Oryctolagus cuniculus: one gene and its partner. The protein of the gene in region 1 interacts with the protein of each later gene in a pairwise test. Links are inferred from orthologs where the notes say so. Each region holds a gene or a part of one and is shown in the gene's direction. Other genes may lie near its edges. The genes, in order: TPR and NUP153.

Region 1 (3,821 bases):
AAAAATCTATCTGGGGCCAGCACCATGGCACAGTAAGTTAATTCTCCGCGTATGGTGTCGGCATCCCATATGTGCGCCGGTGCTGTTCCCAGCTGCCCTTCTTCCAGGAGGCTTTGGATGGGCGCAGCCTCAGCTGTTGCAGCCACCTGGGGAGTAAACCAACAGAAGGAAGACCTTTCTCTCTGTCTCTCCCTCTCAATATCTGTAACTCTACTTCTCAAATAAATAAAATCTTTATAAAATATATCTAATCTGAATTTCAGAATGCTGCTACACCCTGTTGTTTCTTGTGCAGTTTTAGATTAAGGGACATTATGGATTTTCAGCTTAGAGATGGTCAGCCCATAAAATCTGTGCATATAGTCCAAGACCCAAGAAATCCGAACTGTGAAATACTTCCCAGGCATTTCAGATAAGGGATGTTCAATCTGTATCTAATTCGCCATCAAGTCTCGTTTCCTTTGTTCTCTTTAAGTATGTATATATGGCTATATTCTACATAGCTGAGTCACATTTGGTTTTTTATTCCAAATTGCTATATAGTATTGTTTTAACAGTTTTTAAATATTTTCTTAAGTGGATACAGTATAGCATTTAGATAGTCTTCACTTGTTTTAAAAAGCACAGTATGTGTATTTTCTGAAAGCACTGCCCAGCTTTGAGGATTGTCAGTCTCGTGTGTCCCTGGGCAATGACGTCTTGCAGGCCAAGATGGCTGTGGAGGCCCAGAACAAGTACGAGAGAGAGCTCATGCTGCATGCCGCGGATGTGGAGGCTCTGCAGGCTGCCAAGGAGCAAGTTTCAAAAATGGCCTCAGCCCGTCAGCATCTGGAAGAAACAACCCAGAAAGCGGAATCACAGTTGCTGGAGTGTAAAGCATCTTGGGAGGAGAGAGAGAGAATGTTAAAGGTATTTTAACGGAGCATAATAGAATGGTGTGGAGAATTGGGAGAGCTGGGGTCTTTATCATGCATTGGAAACCTGCTGTTGTGATACCCTCCTGGATTACAGGATGAAGTTTCTAAGTGCATGTCTCGCTGTGAGGATCTGGAGAAACAAAATAGATTACTTCATGATCAGATTGAAAATTTAAGTGACAAGGTTGTTGCCTCGATGAAGGAGGGTGCACAGGGTCCATTGAATGTCTCTCTCAGTGAAGAAGGAAAATCACAAGAGCAGATTCTAGAAATGCTCAGGTAAGTCAGGTGTCAATACTAATGTCTCTAGTGCAGTTATGAAATGAAAATATAAATGTATAAATTGGGAATTTTATCTGTAGGTTACATATGGATATTACAGTTTTCTCTCTTAGTGACCAACAAATGCACTACTATCCAATTAGTGGTCACTGTTAGCATATTAAATGCCTTGACAGTCAAATCTGATAGTAAGAACTTACGTGAATTCTTCCTGAAGCACTAAATGCCTCCAGGCCACTTTAAGTATATCAATTTCTAAAGATACTGTCTAATAAAAAACAAAAATGTTGTCTCCCATTGTTTATAATTAGTCAAAACAGTCATTCATTTGATTTTTGTATTTTAAAAATTACCCATGTTTTGAAGTGTTGTGTTGGCCTTATTTCTTAATTCAAATAAAATCTTAACATATTCTTGTAGATTTATACGAAGAGAAAAAGAAATTGCTGAAACTAGATTTGAAGTGGCTCAGGTGGAAAGTCTACGTTATCGACAAAGGGTTGAACTGTTAGAAAGAGAGCTGCAGGAACTGCAAGACAGTCTAAATGCTGAGAGGGAGAAAGTCCAGGTATGTGTACTAAGCTTTCAGAATGTGATTGTTGAAAGAAAAGAGCTCATTTATATAAAATTTAATTTGTACAACATTCTTTTTTTGACAGGCAGAGTGGACAGTGAGAGAGAGACAGAGGGAAAGGTCTTCCTTTTGCCGTTGGTTCACCCTCCAATGGCCGCCACGGCTGGCGCGCTGCGACCGGTGCACTGCACTGATCCGATGGCAGGAGCCAGGTACTTCTCCTGGTCTCCCATGGGGTGCAGGGCCCAAGCACTTGGGCCATCCTCCACTGCACTCCCTGGCCACAGCAGAGAGCTGGCCTGGAAGAGGGGCAACCGGGACAGAATCCGGCGCCCCGACCGGGACTAGAACCCGGTATGCCGGCGCCGCAAGGTGGAGGATTAGCCTAGTGAGCCGTGGCGCCGGCCCAATTTGTACAACATTCTTACTGAACCAAAATGCTTGGTTTCAGATTTAGCTTCATACCATTACCTATATGCGCTTGGGTATATTGTTTAACTTGCTTGCCCTTGGTTTCATCTATAAAATTTGAATAATAGTAGTAAAGATTTAGTTAGTGCACATGGAACGTTTGGAACCATTGCTAATGGGTAGTATGTGCTTAATAAATTCCAGCCATCTTAATTATTTATAGTTGCCAGACACATCTGGAAGTCATTCTAGAATGGAATGATGTATTGCAACGGTTACAGAATTTCACACAAAGGGACAGTATATTGTCAGAAAACAAAAGGTACTGCAGTGGGACTATAAGGTGAAACCAAATAGGGCCTCCAGTTCATGGCACTAACTTGGAACAAAAAGAGTGGAATCAGAATTTCTGAGAAAGATTATATGTTATCTGAGTCTGTCTTGTTTCCTTTGCTGTTCCTTTGGGAAAAGCAAGTACTAGAAAATGTCCAGCCCACAAGCAAGTTCAGAGGAGAAAACCAACTTTTAGATACAGGAGAAAGAAGGTCAGCTAATCCATGTCACATCAGAAATAATATGACATCTGACCAAGAATGAACTATGTAGCATGGCACCATGAAAACTATTGTACTTTTAAAACTGGTGTGGGGAACAGTGGCATCACGTGCAAAAGATGGATAATTTTACCCACAATAAAAGAGTTCAGAGTTCAATAGATACTCAGTAAAATTCCTTGAAACCAACTGATCAAACAACAGAAACAAATAATGAGGGATATCTGAACCACAGGGTAAAAAGTGAGCATCAAGATGATAGCAGTTTATCACAGCGGTTAAGTTGCTGGTTTAGATGCCTACATCCCGTATCAGATTGCCTGGTTCAGGTCCAAACTCCTCTGCTTCCTGTCCTGCTTTCTGTTTATGTGCACCCTTGAAGGGGGCAGGTGATATCTCAAATATCTGAGTCCCTGTTACCCACATGAGAGACTCATGGAATTCTGGACTCTTGGCTTTGGCCTGGAACATCTCTCCACCTTTCAAATGCTTTTTTTTGTTTTTTGTTTTTTTAAAGTAGCATCACTTTAGAAACATTAATAAAAGCATCGTAGCAAGATAAAAAATAAACAGTGTTTTGATATAGTGTTAGTACTGCTTATTTTTGGGATGATTTGTAGTGTCTTTCTTTGTAATTTCTTGTATTTTTTTAAACTTTCAGTAACATCACAGAAAAAACAAACTATAAATTTTTAAAAGTGCTAATTTTGAAAGTTGACTTAACTAAAAGTTGAAAATGAAACCCTTTATACTGTCAGGAGAGGTAGAACTAGTAAAAAGCAGCTTTTTTTCAGCTATTAGATGTGTATGTGTTTACAACCTTCAGGTGACTGCAAAAACGATGGCTCAGCATGAAGAACTGATGAAGAAAACTGAAACGATGAATGTAGTTATGGAGACCAATAAGATGCTACGAGAAGAAAAGGAGAGGCTAGAACAGGATCTGCAGCAAATGCAAGCAAAGGTTTGTAGTCAGAGTGCAAGCATTTACTGATTTTAGGGTTGTTATAAATTAATGTTTACAAGAAAATACTGGCTCTGTTTTCAGGTGAGGAAACTTGAGCTAGATATTTTACCCTTACA
Region 2 (3,821 bases), on another chromosome or scaffold:
TGGCAGGAACTCCCATTTCCATTGTCTACTTTTACTGTCCCTTCGTACTTAAAGGGATCCTAGAAATTTACTATAAATTTACTAAAAGCAAGTAAGTTTTAGCAATAAAGAGGATAGACTATTATAAAGTGATTAAACATGTTTTCTTTATTGACACAATTGTAGGAACAGTGGTTTTTATTTTGGGGAGCATAGTTGTATTGATGAAACATATATTACATAACTTTTGTTTATTAATTTATTTAAATATTTATTGCTTTATTTATTTTGAAAATCAGAATTAGATCTTCCATCTGCTGGTTCTCTTCCCAAATGGCCAAAACAGCTGGGCCAGATAGAAGCCAAAAGCTTCATCTGGGTCTTCCAAGTGGGTGGTAGAGGCCCAGACACTGGGGCCATCTACTATTCCTTTTCCCAGGCCATTAGCAGGGAGCTGGATTGGAAGTATAGTATCTGGGATACATACCAGTGCCTGTGTGTTATGCCAGCCTTGGCAGGCAGCAGCTAAACCCTCTGTGCCACAGCACTAGCCCCTATTTTACTTTATTATTAACATTTGTTTATTTATTTATAAGACATCTTTAATCTACTGGTTTATCCCCCAAATGGCTGCAATGGCTGTTGCAGGGCCAGGCCAAAACTAGGAGCTTGGAGCTTCCTCTGGATTGCCCCACGTGGGTGTCAGAGGCCCAGTTACTTTGCCAATCTTTGGTTTCTTTCCCAAGTGAATTATCAGGGAGCCGGATCAGAAGTGTAGCAGCCAGGATGTCTGGACTGGAAGTGGAACAGTGCAGCCGGGACTTGAACCAGTGTCTGTATGGGGTGCCAGCACCGCAGGCAGCTACCTCTATGCCATGATGCCAACCCCCTTTTATTGCGTGCTCCTGTCTGCTGATTCACTCCCCAAATGGGACAGCAGGGAGTAGGTGTGGGCAGAGCCAGGAGACTGGAACTAAATCCACATCTCCCATGGGGTCTCAGGAACCCAGTTACTTGAGCTGTCACTACAGTCTCTCAGGATCAAATTAGCAGGAAACTGGAGCCAGCAGACAGAACTGAGTATCAAACCGAGGTGCTCTAATGTGAGATATGGGCATTTTAACCCAAAACCCCAGATCGCTTACGTTACATACAAAGATACGCTTGTTTTGGAAAGTATGAAAAATAAAAGCTATAATGAGCACTCATTTTACCATTGGTAGCCACCATTAATCTTTAGATACGAATATTCTTAATCCTCTGCACTTATTCTAACCTCCTTTTACCCATAACTATGCTTTTTTTTTTTTAATATTTATTTATTGGAAAGAGTTGCAGAGAGAGAGAGAGAGGGGTCTTCCATCAGCTGGTTCACTCCCCAGTTGGCCTCAACAGCCAGAGCTGTGTTGATCTGAAGCCGGGAGCCAGGAGTTTGTTCCAGGTCTCCCACGGGGGTGCAAGGGCCAAAGGCTTGGGCCATCTTCTACTGCTTTCCCAGGCCATACAGAGAGCTGGATTGGAAGTGGAGCAGCTAAGACTCAAACCGGGCACCCTTACGGGATGCTGGCACTGAAGGCAGCAGCTTATCCTGCTATCCCACTGTGCTGTCCCCCATAAACTATGCTTTTAAGATTATTTTGTGACTACCTAGCATTTCATTATGTTACTATTGTGATTCTTGTAACTACTAGGCCCTTATTTTTAACCATTTTATCACATAGGTGTTTAATATTATAATTGAAAGATATTTTAAATTGTATAAATTTCTAGAAATGAAATAATTGGCTCAGTTGGAAATTACTTATCAGGTTTTTTTTATCAGTATGTTCAGTAAAGTGGCTTTTTTACTAAAGTTTTAGAAATCGATCCAAGAGTTCGCTTTGAAAGTTTTTTCTAAATTAATTCGAGTCCAATGCTTTTTCTTGGCATAATAGCTTTTATAATTAAAATAATTACAGCTCAAGATACCACTGCAGTGACCAGCAGTACAATCTGTATGAAGAGGCAAGGTGAAGATTATGAGGGTCCTTTTAGACCTGCAAAAATTATGAAAGAGGGAAGTGTCCTAGATCTTCTGAAAAACCCTGGTAAGATAATGACTGCTCTTGTGATAATCAAAAATCTTATTATACAAACTCAGGACTTCATTTTAATATCACTTGGTGTTGTACTTTATAAAAAAATGCTGACTAATCTGATAGGAGGGGACTTTTCAAAGTAGCTATGTAGATATTAATTCTTTTGTGGGAATTTGTGTGCTATTCAAGGACTTCACTAACATGAGGTCTCTAAGAGGCAAAGGCAGGAGAAAATGAATTATGTGTTATTAGAGCTAGGCCCATGTGAAATAAGCAAATAAGTTTAATGATGTACCTGCACACATGTTCCTCTGATGAAAGCATTCAACTGCCATCTCAAATTATTCTGCAGTTTGGTATATACCAAACAAGGCCACGTTTGATGAATTGTAACATATATGCCCAGAGGAAAGTATTTACCTGAAATGAAGCAAGGCTTGAAAGCTAGTTGGTAGTAGTTTGAAGAAATGAAATATGTTCACAGTTTCAGTTGTGATGTGTAACATAAAAATGTCAAAATGTTCATAGGTAATCTAGTAGTTTAAGAACACTATAGATTTACCCAGCAGATGTCTTTGTTGTAAAATGATTTAAGTATAAGATTTGGCTTTTTTGCATGACTTAGAAGGATAAAGTTTTTGTTCCAGGTGTCATTTTTAATTTGAAAGAATCACACAGAGAGAGAAGGAGAAGCAGAGAGAGTGAGAGGTCTTCTATCCGCTGGTTCACTCCCCAATTGGCCGCAACAGCAGGAGCTGCGCAGATCTGAAGCCGGGAGGCAGGAGCTTCTTCCAGGTCTCCCACGTGAGTGCAGGGGCCCAGGGACTTGGGCCATCTTCTGCTGCTTTCCCAGGCCACAGAAGAGAGCTGGATCGGGAGTGGAGCAGCATGTATATCTAGTGTTGCGTCTGGTGTTGTGGCATAATGATTAAAGCCTCTGCCTGCAATGTTGGCATACCATATGCGCGCCAGTTCAAGTCCCAGCCATTGCACTTCCTATCTAGCTCCTAGCTAATGGCTTGAGAAAAGCATAGGAAGATGGCCCAAGTACTTAGGCCTGTGCCACCCACATGGGAGACCCAAATGAAGCTCCTGGCCGTTGTAGACATCTGGGGAGTGTACCTGATTGAAAAGATATCTCTCTCTCTCTCTCTCTGTAACTCTTTCAAATAAAATAAATCAATCTTTCTTAAAAAAAAAAAAATACTAGGGTTACACTTTGTATTCATAATGTCAAACCCTTGTTTAAGTCTGAAAAATTTGGGAGAGTCTTCATTTGAGTGAAATCAAGACATTCTGAAAAAGTGGGGAGGAAAAGAAATGTGATCTTCCCTTTTTCTTTTCTTTTGGTTATTAAGGTGAGAGACATGGGTCACTGGTGGTGTGTGCAAAATTAAAAGTTAACTGGTCTCAGGGCTGGTGTTGTGACGGTACAGTGAGTGTGACACCAGTATCTCATATGAGTGGTGGTTCGAGTCCCAGCTGCTCTGCTTCCGATTCAGCTTCCTGCATAAAATGCCTGGAAAAGCAGCAGGAGGATAGCCCAAGTGCTTGGGCTCCTGCCACCCACATAGAAGACCCTAATGTAGTTTTTGGGTCCCTGGCTTTGGCTTGGCACAGCCCCAGTTGTTCAGGCATTTGGAAAGTGAATCAGCAGATGGAAGATCTTTTTCTGTCTCTTCTTCTCTGTCACTCTGCCTTTCAAATAAATTTTTTTAAAAAAATTTATTGATCTTAAATAAAAAATTAAATGGGTTATTCCCC

What was found.
Region 2: the proteins of TPR (region 1) and NUP153 interact in a two-hybrid assay, tested with the Homo sapiens proteins (3 studies listed by BioGRID, with this or other methods). The link is inferred for Oryctolagus cuniculus from reciprocal best matches to the Homo sapiens genes TPR and NUP153.

What each region holds. Positions count from the first base shown.
Region 1 is NC_091444.1:3,523,745-3,527,565, reverse strand, and holds part of TPR (nucleoprotein TPR), read left to right. Parts: intron 1-705; coding exon 706-909; intron 910-1,011; coding exon 1,012-1,196; intron 1,197-1,619; coding exon 1,620-1,767; intron 1,768-3,564; coding exon 3,565-3,702; intron 3,703-3,786; coding exon 3,787-3,821.
Region 2 is NC_091436.1:144,878,087-144,881,907, reverse strand, and holds part of NUP153 (nuclear pore complex protein Nup153), read left to right. Parts: intron 1-1,937; coding exon 1,938-2,066; intron 2,067-3,821. UniProt on the Homo sapiens protein: Component of the nuclear pore complex (NPC), a complex required for the trafficking across the nuclear envelope. Functions as a scaffolding element in the nuclear phase of the NPC essential for normal nucleocytoplasmic transport of proteins and mRNAs.